Struthio camelus: one gene and its partner. The protein of the gene in region 2 interacts with the protein of the main gene of each other region in a biochemical or structural test. Links are inferred from orthologs where the notes say so. Each region holds a gene or a part of one and is shown on either strand. Other genes may lie near its edges.

The links.
Region 1: the proteins of ATF7IP (region 2) and methyl-CpG-binding domain protein 1-like form a complex in vitro, tested with the Homo sapiens proteins (2 studies listed by BioGRID). The link is inferred for Struthio camelus from reciprocal best matches to the Homo sapiens genes ATF7IP and MBD1.

Annotation. Positions count from the first base shown.
Region 1 is NC_090979.1:627,734-637,148, forward strand, and holds the start of methyl-CpG-binding domain protein 1-like, read right to left. Parts: upstream 4,124-9,415; 5' UTR 4,067-4,123; coding exon 3,957-4,066; intron 2,677-3,956; coding exon 2,562-2,676; intron 1,985-2,561; coding exon 1,862-1,984; intron 1,751-1,861; coding exon 1,677-1,750; intron 588-1,676; coding exon 502-587; intron 1-501. UniProt on the Homo sapiens protein: Transcriptional repressor that binds CpG islands in promoters where the DNA is methylated at position 5 of cytosine within CpG dinucleotides. Binding is abolished by the presence of 7-mG that is produced by DNA damage by methylmethanesulfonate (MMS).
Region 2 is NC_090942.1:55,720,914-55,730,335, reverse strand, and holds the start of ATF7IP (activating transcription factor 7-interacting protein 1), read right to left. Parts: upstream 3,838-9,422; 5' UTR 3,656-3,837; intron 3,535-3,655; exon of another isoform or gene 3,314-3,534; intron 1-3,313. UniProt on the Homo sapiens protein: Recruiter that couples transcriptional factors to general transcription apparatus and thereby modulates transcription regulation and chromatin formation. Can both act as an activator or a repressor depending on the context.

The DNA.
Region 1 (9,415 bases), on a different chromosome or scaffold from region 2:
GAGGAGGAGAAGGAGGATGACGAAGGCTCCCGGAACCCTCCCTAGGAGCGAGGAGGAGGAGGAGGAGGAAGGCTCCGCGGGGACCCCCCCTAGGAGCGAGGAGGAGGAGGAGGAGGAGGAAGGCTCCGCAGGGACCCCCCCTAGGAGCGAGGAGGAGGAGGAGGAGGAGGAAGGCTCCGCAGGGACCCCCCCTAGGAGCGAGGAGGAGGAGGAGGAGGAGGAGGAAGGCTCCGCAGGGACCCCCCCTAGGAGCGAGGAGGAGAAGGAGGAGGAGGAAGGCTCCGCAGGGACCCCCCCTAGGAGCGAGGAGGAGGAGGAGGAGGAGGAAGGCTCCGCAGGGACCCCCCCTAGGAGCGAGGAGGAGGAGGAGGAGGAGGAGGAAGGCTCCGCAGGGACCCCCCCTAGGAGCGAGGAGGAGGAGGAGGAGGAGGAAGGCTCCGCAGGGACCCCCCCTAGGAGCGAGGAGGAGGAGGAGGAGGAGCGGGGGGGAGGAAGGCTCACCGCGGCACTCGGGGCAGAGCCAGCGGCACCGGCGCTGGCTGGGCAGCGTCACCCCGGGGAAGAGGCTCTGGCAGCTGGCGCAGCACCTGCGGCACCGGGACCCAGGCGTCCGGGACCCCTCCCCCCCCACCCCAAAACGAGGGGGCCGGGAGTCACCCCTCCCCCCAACCAGAGCCCCAGGCATCCGGGTATCCCCCCAAAAGAAGGGACCCAGGCGTCCGGGACGCCCCCGTAGAGACCCACGTGTCTTTTGAAAGAAAGGGCCCAGGAGTCCGGGAACCACCCCCCCCCCCACTACCAGGGGCCCAGGCGTCCGGGACCTGGCCCCAGGGGTCTGGGATCCCCCCCCCCCCCCACTACCAGGGGCCCAGGCGTCCGGGACCTGGCCCCAGGGGTCTGGGATCCCCCCCCCCCCCCACTACCAGGGGCCCAGGCGTCCGGGACCTGGCCCCAGGGGTCTGGGATCCCCCCCCCCCCCCCACCTACCAGGGGCCCAGGCGTCCGGGACCTGGCCCCAGGGGTCTGGGATCCGCCCCCCCTCCCCACCAGGGGCCCAGGCGTCCGGGACCTGGCCCCAGGGGTCTGGGATCCGCCCCCCCTCCCCACCAGGGGCCCAGGCATCCGGGACCTGGCCCCAGGGGTCTGGGATCCCCCCCCCCTCCCCACCAGGGGCCCAGGCGTCCGGGACCTGGCCCCAGGGGTCTGGGATCCCCCCCCCTCCCCACCAGGGGCCCAGGCGTCCGGGACCTGGCCCCAGGGGTCTGGGATCCCCCCCCCCTCCCCACCAGGGGCCCAGGCGTCCGGGACCTGGCCCCAGGGGTCTGGGATCCCCCCCCCCCCCCACCAGGGGCCCAGGCGTCCGGGACCTGGCCCCAGGGGTCTGGGATCCCCCCCCCTCCCCACCAGGGGCCCAGGCGTCCGGGACCTGGCCCCAGGGGTCTGGGATCCCCCCCCCCCTCCCCACCAGGGGCCCAGGCGTCCGGGACACCCCCGCCCCCCGCAGTGACTCAGGTGTCCCCCCAAAGAAGGGGCCCAGGCGTCCGGGATGCCCCCCACCAAGCACCGAGGCGTCCGGGACCCCCTCCCCCCTCCCCGCAGGCGTCCGAGAGCGCCGCCCCCCCCCCCGCAAAGCCCCACCCCCCTCCCCCCAGGGGCCCCGGCGTCCCCGCACTCACGCCACCACGCGGTCCTGGGGGGGCTCCGGGGGGGGCCGCTTGCGGGTGCGCCGGGGGAGGGCGGGGGGCGGCGGGGGGGGAGGGGAGGGGGGCGGGGGGGCGGCGGCCGGGGCGGGGGAGGGGGGCAGCAGCAGCAGGGGGGCGCCGGCGGGCGAGGGGGAGGGGGGCGGCGGCCCGGCTGCTGCCGCCGCGGCAGGGGGGGGCGGCAGGGGCGGGGGGGCCGGGGCGCCCCCCTCCCCCGCCGGCCCCTCCTCCGCCGGCGCCAGGGGGGGCGCCGGGGGCGGGCGCCACTTGGGGCCCTTCCTGGCCTGGGGGGGGGGGGGGAAGAGAAGGGTTAACGGGGGGGGGGCAGGGCAAGTTTGGGGACCCCTCCAGTTGGCCCCGCCCATCTTAACCCACCCCCCCCAGCCCCCAAATTTGAGGCCCCCCCATTTTGGGACCACCTCCCTCCATTTTGGGGCACCCCCAGCCCCCATTTTGGCAGCCCCCCCATTTTGGGAGACCCCCTCAGCCCCCATTTACGACCCCCCTCCATTTTAGTGACCCCCCCACACCCCCCATTTTGGGCTCTCTCCAATTTCAGCCCCCTCCCAGCTCCCATTTGGGATCCCCCTATTTTGCCCCCCCCCCAATTTTTTGGGACCAGCCCCCATTTTGGGGCCAGTCCCCCCCCCCAACACCCCAGGGCGCTCCAGCCCCACCCCCAGCACCCAGATAACCCCCCCCAACCCCTCAGGGTGCCCACTTCCCCCCACCCCCATTTTGCCCCTCTGCGCACCGCAGCCTCCCCCGCCGGCTGTGGGGCCCCCCCTTCCCCTCTCCTGGGTGCCCCCCCCCCACGTTTCGGGGGTGTCCCCCCCCCCTCCCCGGGTTTCGGGGGCGCACCTTGACAGCGCCGGGGCGCTCCAGGCCGTGCTTGAAGTCAAAGTTGCCGAGGTCCCGGCCCGGCCCCAGGAACCGGCTCAGCTCGATCTTGCTGCGAAACTTCTCCCCTGTGGGGCTGCGGCCGGCACGTCAGCACGGGGGGGGGGGGCCCAAAACGCGGGGGCCCCCCCAATCCCCCCTTTGCTCCCTCCATACCCAGGGAGCCCCCAAACCCGGGGGGGGGCAGCCTTGAAACCTCTCGAAGGGGAACCTTGAAACCGCCAAGGTTGGGAAGGGAACAGCCTGGGGAGCCCCAAGTGCTGGGGGGGGGGGATGTTGAAGGGGTCCCCAAAAACCCCTGCCCTTCCCCAAAATCCGGGGAGCCCCTCAAAACTGGGGGAGACCAAAACACCCGGGGGGGGGGGCCTCGAAACCATCCAGGAGGAACAAGGACAAAGCCTTGAAACCACCAAGAAAAGTTAAGGGAAGGTGGGAAACAGCCTGGGGAGTCCCAGAAGTGAGGGGGTGGGGGAGCAAGGGGGACCTCAAAACACCGAGGGGGGCCCCAAAACCCCCTGGGGCCCCCCAAAAACCCCGGGAGCCTCCCCAAAGCAAGGGGAGCCCAAAAACACTCAGGGAGGCCCTTGAAACCAACCACAGATGAAAGAAAAACCCTTAAAACCACCAAAAGAAACTGGGGTGGGAGGGGGCTGGAGGGCTTGGGAAGCCCCAGAAGCAATGAGGGGGATCTGGGGGTGCCCCCAAAACCCTGAGACCCCCCAAAAAACAGGCAGCCCCCCCAAATCAGGGAGAGCCCCAAAACACCTGAGGGAGGGGCTCTTGAAACCACCCAAACACAAAAGCTCGAAACCGCCCAGGAAAGCTCTGCAGGGGGGAAAAAGGGCCTGGCAGCCCCAAAAATGATGGAAAAGGTATCGGGTTGGGGGGGGGGGCAAAAACCCAGGGGAACCCTAAGAGCTTTGGGGGGAGGTGAAATTGCCTGGGGGACCCTGAAACCGGCGGGGGGCCTTGAAACCACCAGGAGAGATTTGAGGGGGATTGAAACCACCAGGGGAGCCCCAAAACTGCAGAAAGCCCATTGAAACAGTGGGGCGGAACTTCGTGTATTGGGGGGGGGGAAGAGGGGGAAGGAGGCAGGCACACGGGGGGGATCCCCTCCCCCAAATCAGGGGTGGGGGTGGAGCCAGGGGCGGGGCTAGGCCTGGCCCCACCCCACCCCCAAGCTTGGTACCCTGGGTAGAGGGGGGGGGGGATACCCGGACACCTGGGTCCCTTCCCGGCTTTGCGAAGCACCTCGGACGCCTGGGCCCCCGCCCCGGGGTGTGGGGAGGGCGGGGCGGGGCAGGACCCAAGCGTCCGGGGAGGGACCCAGGCGTCCGGGCAGGGCCCTCCTACCTCTGGTAGTAGGTGTCGGTGCGGCCGCAGGTGGCCCCGGACTTGCGGAAAGCCTCGCGCCGCTTCCAGCCGGGCCCCAGCGCGGGGCAGTCGACCCAGCCCTCCGCCATGGCGCTGCCGGCGGCGGCGGGGGGGGGCTGGAGCGGGGGGGGGGCTCTGCCGGGCTACTGCGGGGCCGGGAGGGGGGGGGGGGGCTCAGCTGGGACCCAGGCGTCCGGGCTGGCCCTTCTGCCAAGCCCCGCCCCCAAGCGGCCAGGCCCCGCCCCCGAGCGACTTGCCCCCGAGCGGCCCCGCCCCCCCCGGCTCGCATCCCCCCCCTCCCCCACACCAACAGGGCCCAAACCGCCCCCCCCCCCGCACTAAGTGCCCTTTTCTCTCGCAAATTGCCCCAAAACTGCCCCAAATCACCCCCTCCCCTGCATTAACTGCCCCCAAACCGACCCCTCCCCAGCAGTAAGTGCCCTGTTCTCTCAGAAACTGCCCCCCGCCCCCACTAACTGCCCCAAAACAGCCCCTCCCCCTCACACATTGCCCTTTTCCCTCACTAACTGCCCCAAACCACCCCCTCCCCCTCACTAGCTGCCCTTTTCCCTCACTAACTGCCCCAAAACCGCCCCAGCCCCACCAGGAAGTGCCCTCTTCCCTCGCTAGCTGCCCCAAAACTGCCCCCTCCCCCTCACTAACTGCCCTTTTCCTTCACTAACTGCCCCAAACTGCCCCCCGCCCCTCACTAACTGCCCTTTTCCCTCGCAAACCGCCCCCAAACCGCCCCTCCCCCTCACTAACCACCCTTTTCCCCTCATAAACCGCCCCAAAACCGCCCCCTCCCCCCCAAACCACCCCTGCCCCTCACTAACTGCCCTTTTCCCCTCAAACCGCCCCAAAACCGCCCCCTCCCCCTCACTAACTGCCATCTTCTCCTCACAAACTGCCCCAAAACTGGCCCAAACCGCCCCCTCCCCCTCACTAACTCCCCTTTTCCTTCACAAACAGCCCCAAAACCTGCCTCCACCCCTGCTAACTGCCCTTTTCCCTCACTAACTGCCCCCAAACTGCCCCCTCCCCCTCACTAACTGCCCTTTACCCCTCACTAACTGCCCCAAAACAGCCCCTCTCTCACTAACTGCCCCAAAACTGCCCCAAAACAGCCCCTCCCCCTCACTAACTGCCCTTTTCCCTCACTAACTGCCCCAAACTGCCCCCTCCCCCTCACTAACTGCCCCAAAACTGCCCCCTCCCCCTCACTAACTGCCCCAGAACTGCCCCAAAACCGACCCCTCCCCCTCACTAGTTGCCCTTTTCCCTCACAAACTGCCCCAAAACTGCCCCTTTCCCTCAAGACTGCCCTTTTCCTTCACTAACTGCCCCAAACCGCCCCCAAACCGCCCCCTCCCCCTCACTAGCTGCCCTTTTCCCTCACTAACTGCCCCAAACCGCCCCCTCCCCCTCACTAACTGCCCTTTTCCCTCACAAACTGCCCCAAACTGCCCCCTCCCCCTCACTAACTGCCCCAAAACAGCCCCTCCCCCTCACTAACTGCCCCAGAACTGCCCCAAAACCGAACCCTCCCCCTCACTAGCTGCCCTTTTCCCTCACAAACTGCCCCAAACCGCCCCCTCCCCCTCACTAGTTGCCCTTTTCCCTCACAAACCGCCCCAAACCGCCCCCTCCCCCTCACTAGTTGCCCTTTTCCCTCACAAACTGCCCCAAACCGCCCCCTCCCCCTCACTAGCTGCCCTTTTCCCTCACAAACTGCCCCAAACCGCCCCCTCCCCCTCACTAACTGCCCTTTTCCCTCACTAACTGCCCCAAACCGCCCCCTCCCCCTCACTAGTTGCCCTTTTCCCTCACAAACCGCCCCAAACCGCCCCCAAACCGCCCCCTCCCCCTCACTAACCGCCCCAGAACTGCCCCCGGCCCCTCCGTAACCGCCCCTCCCCCCCCCACACACACTAACTGCCCTTTTCCCCTCCCAAACCGCCCCCCGACCGCCCCTCCCCCTCCCAAACCGCCCCCCGACCGCCCCCTCCCCCCGCCGCCCGGTACCGGCCGGGGCGCGGCCCCCGCGGCGCGCGCGCGCTCCGCCATGGCGCGGCCCCGCTCGTGGCGCAGCAACGGCCGCCGCCGGCGCGAGGGCACCGCGGCCAGGGGAGGGGAGGGGCCGCGCCGCGCGCCGGAAGCGGAAGCGAAGCCGCCCCGCCGCTGCCTCTGATTGGCTGGTGGGTCGGGGGAAGCTGGTGGTGGGGAGGGGGGGGGAGAAGGGGAGGAGGCGCACGTGACGCCGCCGCGGCCAATGGGAGGGCGGCGCGGGGGAAGGGGCGGGGCCTCCCCCCTCCTTCCCTCTTCCTTCCAATGGGCGGGAGGGAGCGAGCACGTGACGGCAGCGCGGTCACCTGAACCGCCACCACCACCCCACACGGCTGGGAGGGGGCGGAGCTATGCAAATGAGCGCGGCGGGGGGCGGACCACGTGGCGCCGGCCGCTTCCCTTCCCCCCCGCCCCGCCGCCAATATCCCCGCGGGAGCCCGCGCCGTCGGACACGTGACCGCGGGGCGAGGGGGGGGCGTGGCTATGCTAATAAGCACCGCGGACAAGCCGTGCGGGGCGTGGCTACGCTAATGAGCAGCGCGGTCGGCCCGCTCGGGGGCGGGGCTATGCAAATGAGCGGCGGCACTGAGTCGCCGAGGGCGTGGCTACGCAAATGAGCGTCGTACCGAGCGCTGGTCGGTCCCGCCCGGGGGGCGGGGCTATGCTAATGAGCGGCGCCCCCCCCCCCTCCAAAGCCACCGGGACCCCCCGAAATCCAGGAAAAAAACCACTTTCAACACCAATTTTATTGTGGGGGGGTGGAAGGCCCCCCTCTCCCCTAGAACCCCCCCAAAAGTGGGTAGGGGGCCCTAATAGGGGGGCTCAGGACCCCCAAAATTGGGTGGGGGGGTCTTAACGGGGGGGGCTCAGGACCCCCAAAGTTGGGTGAGACCCCCCCAAATTGGGTGGGGGGGTCTTAAAGGGGGGCCCAGGACCCCCAAAATTGGGTGAGATCCCCCCGAAAGTGGGTAGGGGGGCTCAGGACCCCCAAAATTAGGTGAGATCACTCCAAACTAGGTGGAGGGGTCTTAAGGGGGGGCTCAGGACCCTCAAAATTGGGTGAGATCCCCCCCAAAAGGGGGTAGGGGGGTTCAGGACCCCAAAATTGGGCAGGAACCCCCAAAATTGGGTGGTGAGGGTCTTAAAGGGGGGCCCAGGACCCCCAAAATTGGGTGAGACCCCCCCAAAAGTGGGTGGGGGGGTCTTAAGGGGGCTCAGGACCCCCAAAATTGGGTGAGATCCCCCCCCAAAAGGGGGTAGGGGGGTTCAGCACCCCAAAATTGGGTGGTGGGGGTCTTAAAGGGGGGCTCAGGACCCCCAAAATTGGGTGAGATTCCCCCCCCCAAACTAGGTGCGAGTGGGACCTCAGGACCCTGAAATTGGGCAGGGACCCCCAAAACTGGGTGAGAACCCCCCAAACTGGGTGGGGGGGTCTCAAGGGGGGCCTCAGGACCCCCCAAATTGGGGGAGACCTCCCCAAAAGGGGGTGGGGGGTTCAGGACCCCTAAATTGGGCAGAACCCCCCCCCCGGGACCCCCCCAAAGTTGGGTGGTGGAGCCCTAAGGGGGGGGGCTCAGGACCCCTAAAATTGGGTGAGATCCCCCAAAATTGGGTGGGGGGGCATTAAGGGGGGGCTCAGGACACTCAAAATGGGGTGAGACCCCCCAAAATTGGGGGGGGGAGCTCAGGACCCCAAAAATAGGGCAAGACCCGCCCCAAAATCAGGTGGGGGGGTGCAGATGGGCTGTTCAGGGGGGGTTTAGGGGCCGGGGGGGTCGTGGGGAGGGGGCAGGGGGAGGTTTTGGGGTAGATTCCGGCGGTTTTGGGGGCGTCAGGCGGCGGCGACGGTGCGCAGGGCGGTGGTGAGCGGCGCCGAGCGGGCCGCGGGGGACCCGGGGGGCGATTTGGGGCGGAAGGAGGCGGAAGGGGGGGGCGGGGGGTTCGGGGGGGTTTCGGGGGCAGTTCGGGGGGGGTTTTGGGGGTGTTGCCGGGTGTTTCGGGACCGTCAGGCGGCGGCGACGGTGCGCAGGGCGGTGGTGAGCGGCGCCGAGCGGGCCGCGGGGGACACGGGGGGCGATTTGGGGCGGAAGGAGGCGGAAGGGGGGGGCGAGGGGTTCGGGGGGGGTTCGGGGGCGGTTCCGGGGGGGTTTTGGGGGTGTTGCCGGGTGTTTCGGGACCGTCAGCGGTCGGCGGCGGTGCGCAGGGCGGTGGTGAGCGGCGCCGAGCGGGCCGCGGGGGACACGGGGGGCGATTTGGGGCAGAAGGAGGCGGAAGGGGGGGGCGGGGGGTTCGGGGGGGTTTCGGGGGCGGTTCCGGGGGGGTTTTGGGGGTGTTGCCGGGTGTTTCGGGACCGTCAGGCGGCGGCGACGGTGCGCAGGGCGGTGGTGAGCGGCGCCGAGCGGGCCGCGGGGGACACGGGGGGCGATTTGGGGCGGAAGGAGGCGGAAGGGGGGGGCGGGGGGTTCGGGGGGGGTTCGGGGGCGGTTCCGGGGGGGTTTTGGGGGTGTTGCCGGGTGTTTCGGGACCGTCAGGCGGCGGCGACGGTGCGCAGGGCGGTGGTGAGCGGCGCCGAGCGGGCCGCGGGGGACACGGGGGGCGATTTGGGGCAGAAGGAGGCGGAAGGGGGGGGCGGGGGGTTCGGGGGGGGTTCGGGGGCGGTTCCGGGGGGGTTTTGGGGGTGTTGCCGGGTGTTTCGGGACCGTCAGGCGGCGGCGACGGTGCGCAGGGCGGTGGTGAGCGGCGCCGAGCGGGCCGCGGGGGACACGGGGGGCGATTTGGGGCGGAAGGAGGCGGAAGGGGGGGGCGGGGGGTTCGGGGGGGTTTCGGGGGGGGTTCCGGGGGGGTTTTGGGGGTGTTGCCGGGTGTTTCGGGACCGTCAGGCGGCGGCGACGGTGCGCAGGGCGGTGGTGAGCGGCGCCGAGCGGGCCGCGGGGGACACGGGGGGCGATTTGGGGCAGAAGGAGGCGGAAGGGGGGGGCGGGGGGTTCGGGGGGGTTTCGGGGGGGGTGGCGGCGGTGCGCAGGGCGGTGGTGAGCGGCGCCGAGCGGGCCGCGGGGGACACGGGGGGCGATTTGGGGCGGAAGGAGGCGGAAGGGGGGGGCGAGGGGTTCGGGGGGGGTTCGGGGGGGGTTTGGGGGGGTTTTGGGGGTGTTGCCGGGTGTTTCGGGACCGTCAGGCGGCGGCGACGGTGCGCAGGGCGGTGGTGAGCGGCGCCGAGCGGGCCGCGGGGGACACGGGGGGCGATTTGGGGCGGAAGGAGGCGGAAGGGGGGGGCGGGGGGTTCGGGGGGGGTTCGGGGGCGGTTCCGGGGGGGTTTTGGGGGTGTTGCCGGGTGTTTTGGGACCGTCAGGCGGCGGCGACGGTGCGCAGGG
Region 2 (9,422 bases):
GGCAGCCTATGAATTCTCAGTCATTATGTAAGCATAGATAAGCCTCTCAAAGTAATGCCATATACTAAAGAGAAGTAAACAGTCTAGCCTTACTGTAAAATTCTTACTGTAAAATATTAACAATCTTAGATTTCACTGCATTTAAGAGTGAGATTCATCAAAATATACTGGGGGGAAAAAAACAACAAAACAAAAAATTCACATTCACATACACAGAAAATATAATAGTTTTACAACTCACAACTTATTTTCTCATCTAATATCCCTTAGGAAAACTACAATGTACATCTGTGACACTGCAGTAATTTCCAAAATAAACATATGACTAGCACACAACATAGAAAAACATTAGGTGGATAGTAAATGCATTAAGATTGTACATTGAGTAAGAATGACAGCAACATACTGAGAAAGTATCTTTTGGCCTTCCTATCTATATTTCATATATATCCTTGAGATTTTTGGCATAAACATAATTTCTGACAGTAAGTCCAGATAAGCCCAGCTAATTATTATTCATACTAAAAAAAAAAAAAATCTAGATTGGGGAAAATTACTCTGCTGTTTTCTTGTTTTGCAAGAAAAATACAACATCTGGTTTGGTCAGCTATTTTTCAATGTGGAAATATCTTTTTTTTTTTTTTTTTTAAAGAAGAAAAGAAGTCTCCCAAAAAATCACAGTCAAGCACACTGAAAAGCACTGCCTTCATTCTCTATGAATCAGTTACTAAAATAGTTTTAAAACATAGTTTAATTTTAAATATTTATTTTACAGAATAGCTAGCATGCAGAGAAACAATTCAACATGTTTTAACATAATTTTCATATCTAAGAAGTTCAGGCTCTTGGCTAGCAACATCATCTCATGCTGGGACAAACTATCTCCCTATTAGACCAAGTTTCCTGTCCTTATCCCCAAACTCTGAAAGCACTGCCAAAGGACCCTTTACAAGAAAATTAACATACTACAGTTCATGTTGAGCTTCTAAATATGTGAAATGGGCATACAAGCCAAAGCAGGAGATATTAGCAAACAATGAAGAATATAGCATATATGCATGTCTACAGGGACTAGCATCTTATTGAAAACAGACTTCATAATAGGTGGGAAATAAGAAATAAAGAGGTCCCACAACAGCAACATTAAATGAACTGTTTTAAATTATGTATATTATTACTGTATTCTCCTATGAATCAATCATGTAAGATCAGTTTCAAACCTATGGAACATTCAAAATAATCTTATTAAATTACTTCATACAACAAAATACAAAACTGTTCCACAAATCATAGGAAGCATTAGTTCAGTATTGCTACACTTTGTAAAAGGTTGCAACTCATAAAAAAATCTGGAAGCAACGTAACAAGTCTACCAAACCAAAATCATAATGATGAGAGCATGAAGATCTCGTAAGATTCTTTGAAAAAGAGTACACATGAGCAGTTACTTGTAAACAGTACCAAAACCACATTTTCTGCATTTTAATTATTTGGCATCTATCTAAAGACTTACTGCTATTAAAAATGAGTAGTGCCATTCTTTTTTGGATTATATGTACCCAAAATCTAAATTTGATACTTCCAGAGCATATAAAAATAACTGCAAGAATTGAGGATAAAAATATTATTTTAGTTGCCAAGATTCGTCAACTGTACAAGTCCTCAAGCAAACATCAGTGAGTGCATTTAATGTTTGTCCTGATAACTACCATTAGTCCCATTTTACAGATGGGCAAACTGAGAAATTACCTACCCAAGATCACATACCACATAACAGCAGGGCACTTTAAAGAGTTTTTTAATATTCAAGATAATACTTTCCTTCATACCTTCCTTTGGGACTGCCCAAAACAGTATCTAATCAGAAAAAAAACCCTATACTTATTTCTTACATTCTTATTAGTTCTCTGTGTACTGATTTCATATCTAGCCTTTTTATACCAGGCTTAAGCAGACATTAAGTACATTCTCTACATTTTATAAACAAAAAGTAAATATAAACTCAGTATTAATAACTGCAATAACTGTATTTAGAACAACCTGTTACAATAGAAGATGGCCTGAAATGTATTTAAACTTGCAAAATAAATCCAGACAGCATGCTTATACAATTTATTGATCTTCTAGATGCAAATTCCCATAAATTCATTCATAAGAACAGTATTTACTTGTATAAAATGGGGAACGTACCAAACATATATTTTCTAAAACATTGTCCTATTTCTGACAATCAGATGCCACATTAAATAAGGTGTCTAGATTTACAAGCGTTTATTTGTCTGTGACTGCACGAAGGCAGCAGTTTTAACCTTAATGACTGTTCCCTAACAGAGTAGGGCTAAGTAATGCTTATCTCCCCCTCTCCATTTTAGATGGACATTTTTCCATCAAAAGAATGCTATCCAACAAGCCTCTCAGTGTTAAGGGTCACACTGACATCACAATATGCAGAGTTATTTCAAGATGACTGTTATGCAACAAAATATTCTAATGCAGGCATATCCACTGGATATCTATCAAGGTCTCATTAGGAGACCTAATTAGAAGGGAATATACCTGCTAAGAGAAAAAAAAACAGTTGAGAACAATGCTACATCTCTAAAATGCTCCAGTGTCACCCCAGAATTAAAATGTAGTATTAAACTAAGATTTCAATTTTTTAAAATACATCGGTATAAAGAAAATTAGAAGATCAAATGTAAATTCTTTATATGAACATACTACACTGTTAACTTAAGCCATTTTGTTCAACACAGGCCTCCAGGACAACCTGAAATAACAATTCTGGCCTTGTTTAGTTCATTTTATAATAAACTACTGACAACATCACATAAATAACGAAGAACTAGCCTATTTTTTTCCCCACTGAAATACCCTCATTTCTACTAAGTTCACAAGCACGCTTGCTTCAGAAACTTTTAGCTGAAATTTTATTAGCATGTTATCGAGCGCAACAAGAAGAACAGTTTTCTACTTGTTGTTTCCACAACCCATCCAACCACGATGCTCAACTTTTAACATCTGCTATACTTAGGAGTATATTCACCAACTACATACACCACCACTTAGGTGATGCTATCCCCAATCCAGACATATGTAAGGTAGTGCTTTCGAGGCACTACACAGCCAGATCCGCCCCTGTCCCACACCTAAACACCCCTCTGGCGTGGTGTAAAAGAGCGCCCCCACCTCACCTGACACATGTACAACAAGAAGACCGAAAGAGGGACAACTGCCTGCTACTTCCAGGCTCATGCTGCCTTACAGGGCTCAATCCAGAATCCGAGCTTTGCCCTGCCCCCATCAGACCTACCTGTGACCCACCGCGGCCGCGGCAGGGAGCGTCGGGGGCGGAGGAGGAAACGTCCCCACACCACGCTCCCCACTTGCCACCACCTCAGTAGAAAAACAGCAACGCGCATGCGCGCCGCCGCCTGCACTGGAGCCGAGTCACGTGCTCCCATGCAGTATGCGCGTAGCTGTGGTGCGCTTGTGAGTGTGGGTGCGTGGCGCGTGTGCAAAGCTGCAGCTCCCGAGCATGCGCACTGCGGCCAGCCCCACAGCCCGAGTCAGCGTTCGGCATAAAGTGCTGCCACTACCCGGCCACAGTGAGAGCGCGACCCGCCGCCCGCAGCCCGAACGGGACGTGCAGTACCTGTGCCTCTGCGTCCTGCGGCAGCCCCTGCCTCAGCGCTCCGGCGGCGGCCGCCGCTCCTGTCTTCTCTCCGCTGCCGCCGTAGATTCAAAATCGGAACCCACTTCAGGCACCAACGCCGCCTCCCCCTGTCGCACGCGCCGGGCCGTTATGCAAATGAGCCGTCTATCCCCTCCCCTCTCCCGGCTGGCCCCGCCCCCTTCGCCGGCACAGGGGCCGGCAGCGGGGGCTGCCTTGCCGCCGGCCAATCGCAGGGCCGGCCATCTTGGCAGCATGCAAATGAGCCGCCGAGTTATTTAAATGAGCAGTTGGCTCCGCCCCTTGGCGGGCGGTTGCCGACGGTTATTCGCGATAACGTGCTGCGGCCAAGGGCGTTTGAGGGTAGAACGAGGCGCGCGCGCGGCGGCTCCGGCTGCGAGGGGGCGCTGCCCCGGCGCGCGGGGGCCCGGGGGGGCAGGGCGGAAGGAGCCGCCTCGCTCTGCCTCTCGCCTTCCCGCCCCAGTGGGACGTGGCTGCTTTGGCCTCTAGGGTATCTCCTCCCTAGCACATGTGAAAAGCCTTACTGAGGGCCTCTGGGTTTCTCAGAAAATAACCTGCATCACCAGCTTCCAGCACCGCTAGCTGCAGCTTCCTTACCTGTCCTGTTGTTAGGTTTTTTGAGCTGTCCTGGGGGTAACCTCAAGTTTTCTTTATGACAGGAAGCACCTGGCCAAAACACAGAGGTTTTCTTAATAGCCGGCTTTGGGTTCGAGGAGTGTCAAGAAACCAAAAAGCGCTGTTAGCAGTACTTGAAGTACATCAGAGGTGCACAGCTTAGCCTGGGTGATCAGCAGGTCAAAATCTGCAGTGACCATTTCCCACTCACCCTCAATTTCTACCTAAAGGGGGCAGGGGGAGAAGAGCATGGGATCTACTTTAATCTGAGCCTTAACTTGGCGCATTCTGTTCTGTGACCAAAAGCAGAAATGAATATTGTCCACAGCTGCTTGAGAGTTAGCTCAACACTAGTTTTGAGACTCAAGTACCTGTTGCCCACTGACTCCGTGATGAAGGGAGAGGCCCTTTCCCTCTGTTTAGGCAAACTGACATTTTTCCTGTTGAAGGCTTAAAATACACAATGAAAAATGGCATCCTGATTTTTCTACTTCAAGAGTGTGCTAAATACACAGCAAGAGTTTTTGTCAGTCATGTGCAGAGCCTGCTGCGTCCCCGTATGTAGTGAAGCAGTACCTATATGGCATAGGCTTTGCAAGGGTTCTGCTAGAAGCACTTTACAGATTGAGCAGCAGGTTTTTAAGATGTTGCCGTTCCCAGTGGGTTGCCTGACGTCTCTGCTGAATGCTTCCACTTACACAGCGAAGATGGCAGCGGGAGATGTGCATGTGCGCCCCATGATTTTGGGCCAGCACATCTACAAAAGTGCTTTGAGTAGGTGTACTAGCCTGGGAACTTGAACAGCCAAAGTGTGAATGGCCATCTTGCTCTGCTGTCCCTGCAGCAGGCATGGCAGTTTCTGGCAGGAAGTGTGGCAGACACCTGAGACAATAATTTCTAAAATTTTCACAGCTAGCTTTATCAGAGCTCCTGGAGCTCTAGGTCAGTACTAGAATGTTTTATCTTGGAAAATGGGAGGTTTGGATTTTAGTTGAGTCTTCTGTGCTTTTGCACACAAGCAGAGGACAGGATATTTCAGGTAGAAAAGGCTAGAACTATCCAGAAGTGGGCAACTACTAGCTGTACCTATTATTTAACTTGCATTTCACTGCTGGTGAGCACTTTTACAGCATCCATGCATAAACATCCTTTGAGATCAATCAGGAGTAAAAACTTTCAGGCTAAGATGCATATTCTCAGAAGATTGGATATTAATATAATCATCTCTTTGGATAACAATTGGTGGTATTCCAAACTTGATTTAGTACGGAAGCCCTTACAGCAACATAGTATTTTTTCCACTGCAATGCATTTCATGTACCTGAAGGAAGAATGAGGAGGGAGGATTTGTCACCCTAAAGAATATACAGTTTATTAAGTGTGCATTTAGGTGTGAATTTGCTGCTATTAGCTTGTTATTTTGTCACAGATAAATAGAAAACATAGAAATGCAACATGAAATGAATGTTTATAAAAATCTTTCTTGGCTCTCTGAGGAAAGGATAGTAGCAAAAATCTGAATGCCTCAAAGAAATCTTATTTGTCGATCCCAGTATCTGTTTCGACTGATCACAGGACATAGCTTAATCAGCTTTAGAAGACCAACTGACTACTAAGAGAAGAGGTGGAATGCTGTTGATTATGGTTGTCCCCAGACTTTAGATGGCGGACAATCTCTGAAGCGTTTATAAGTCTAATAATATGCCACTGTTCTTTCAAGTTCCAAAGATTCCAGGTGTCCAAAGTTTGTATTTTGTCCACAGCAAACAGAAACTGAGAAATCTTGGAAAGAAGTTCAGAGAGCCAAGTTTGTAATGAAATACAGAAATACGAAAGTTGCATAACACTTAATCTTACGCTTAATAGCATGGGAAGTTTGTGCAAGGCCCAGTAGACCAAAAGCTATTTTTAAAGAACTACTCATAAATATTTCAAATACTGTTTAGGGAGCATTTTTTAATATTAGCCATTTACCAACAAATTAAACATTTCAAGGGTGACAAGACACAAATATATTCAAAGTTTTATATGGAACTGCCTTTAACTTGTTGTACGCCTACTTTTTGGAAAGACAGAACATGAGCTTGTACTTCAGCAAAGAGTTGTGGCAAAGACAAAAGTGGACTTTAAAAACTTCCTTTGCTCCATAACAGTTACAGAAAGACAAACTATTAAACAACCAGCCAAAACCAGGTAATTTTTTTTTTCAGAGCTACTAACTGTTGGTCACTAAAGACAGTAAAGATTAAAAGGAAATCAGTATCAAAACAATTATTTCTTAAAGGGGAAAGATTTAATTCCTCTTTTACCTAGCACAAATTATGCTAATATGTTCATTATGGTATCATACCATACCCATTTTCTATCATTTAAATGTTTCAGATTATTTGTCATTTCTTCAAAAATGGTTTTATGGAAAAACTAAAAAATATTCCTAGTCATTTTATTGAATGTGGTTTTTTTAGCTTCTTTCTCAGGCAATAATCCTGTTGAGCCTTAACAGCAAACAAACAAACAAACAAACCCCCCAAAAACAAAACTGTACTTTATTTGTTCACTTAGTCCACAGTTGTATTAATTCAATGCTATAGTTGATACAGTAAGTGCCCTGCAATGACATTTGAGATACCAATATAAGCGGCGAGTTAACATCTTTAAATTTTAAGAGCAATGACAATGTCTAAATTGTCAGCTCAGTAATTTGAGGAAGGCAAAGTCCAGATTTCTGTTAACTGCTCTTGCTGAAGTCAGATTGGTTATAAATGCAAAATAGTGACTGTGTATCAGTTTATACTGCTCAGATTATTTGTAAGAAGAAAGTTAAAATAAACAATCATTGAGAATATATGACTTCAGTGACATTTCTTTATTTGAAAAATTCCTTTTTTGCTGAGAACAGTGATGCGTAATGCAAATACTTCACTGGAGTTAAATTTACAAGATACTAAACTTGCAACACCATAAAAGAGTAGTTGTCCGTGTAGTTCACTTTCCTGTCTGAGGAATCTGCTAAGGTATTCAGACATTGCAATAATAAGCACAGAGAAAAAGACCAATAGATTCTAATGTGCTTGGAAAAAAGAAAATTATACTATTTTATGTGCAACAGAGAATTTCATCTTCATGTCCTCAGACACTGAATTTCAGTCTTGGTGTATGCACATAACATTTAATTTTCTTATATCCACATAACTGCTAAAGGGTGGTTCCCAGCCTGTGAACAACAGATCACTAATAAGCTGATTACATGATGCTTTCTATACTTGAAATTGTTTTAGTAAAACGAGGCTTGATACCTTGAATATTTCCCAATATTACTCCTCTCCATATGATTTAATAACTGCTAATGGAGATGTTGCAGAGTCACAAATGGGAAACCTAAAAGGAAGCATGTAAATTGATGCACAGAAGAGGTGTAGCTCTCAGGATGAAAATGAACTTTATATATATAGAAAATGATTGTCTTTTTAAAAAATCAAAATGTCATGATAAATGGTTAGTTATATGGAAAAAAGTACCCATTTTATTTTTTAAATAATTGCTGGAAAGTATGTAATTGCACAAGATCACCTTGATAAATAAATGACACTTTTAAGCCAATACATTTATGTTAATTTTCTTGGTAATGGAGTAGAGTAATAAATATTTTCTTGCACAGTAAAAGCCTAATAGGATGGAATGATTAAGACTTCTCTGATTATAAATAGTCTTACACAGGGTGAAAGAAACACTGTAATATCAGAAAATAATAGTGAGTTTTCCAAGTTTTTGTTCACTAACAAAAATATGTACAGTGAGAAAAAAAAAAACATACCTATTTGACAATGTAACCTGTGATTTAGTGACTCAAGAATTTCAAGAATTTCACCAGGGAGGCTTAAAACATAGCTCAAAAGGGAACTGCATGATACCCTTCTGATGAAGAAAAGCAAAGAGAGGATTTTTTAAAATTCCTTTTTACTATAAGTGCACATCTCTTTTTTTTCATACAAAAACTTACAGCACAGCCAGCAGGATGAAATTGTGAAAATAAGGCTTTTACTAGACTTTTTTTAAAAGTTAAACTTAACAGCATACAAAGATCACAAGCCTGGTAAAATGTAACCAAAACATCTGAGGAATTTTCCCTATAATGAACTGAAATTATTTAAGGCATTTTCATGTGGGTTACTTTTCACTGTAGATACCTTCCAATTACATGACTTTTGTAAAATACGCTAATATTATCTTTCTATTACTTTTAGGGGTCATAAGAGAAAGGATTTTGGGAAAAAGCCTTTAACCGCTCTATTCCTCTCAGATTTAATAATAATAGTTTTAATAATAAATTTACTAACCATCAAGTAAGTACTCTGCTGCACAGCTGTTCTCTCGTCAAAACTTACTCTGTTATGACTTTGCTGTATTACCTAGCCCATCTATTTACTGAGCAGATGTGTTTAGGTTTGTTAAGCACCTAGCAGTCTTTTTTCTCTGTTCTGAGTTGTCCTCTCACTTTACTACCTTCCACCTCACTTAATAATATAACAAACTAGATCAAACTTCACCTCTGTTTTTAATAAGAAAATTGTAATTTTGTAAGCCTCTGTACCAACAAGATTGATACAGTTCAGTGGTTAAGAGACAGTTCAGTGGCAAAGAAGGAATTGACAAAAATGTATTTTTATAGCTTGTTAAATTTGTTTCTACTACACTAACATAACCTACCAGTATCTTGAGATATGACCAGGCATTATCATCTGCAGTGTGGATTCTCATGCTTAACCTCTAGCTAAAGAGTCTATCCCACTTCAAAAGAAAAAGTAACGTTAACAACATGTGAGCTAATGGACAATTGGAATTTATTAAATAAAATCCTTTTCCAAAGAGTCTCAAATTAAGTGATTTCAAAGCACCAAACAAATCTGTTTTCTGGAAAGAAGAGCTTGTCCTCCATTGTCCCACTTACTCTCTGACATGAGAAAGTTGTGTGCATATTTTTTTGAAGAACAGCAGGTAACATACAGGAGAACCTTAAAACTATGGAAGCTATTCTGGTTTTACCTATTTTTCTGGCAGTTTATTTTGAATCACTGGAAGTGCTCATATGGTGGCAGTGGAATAATCTTTTTTC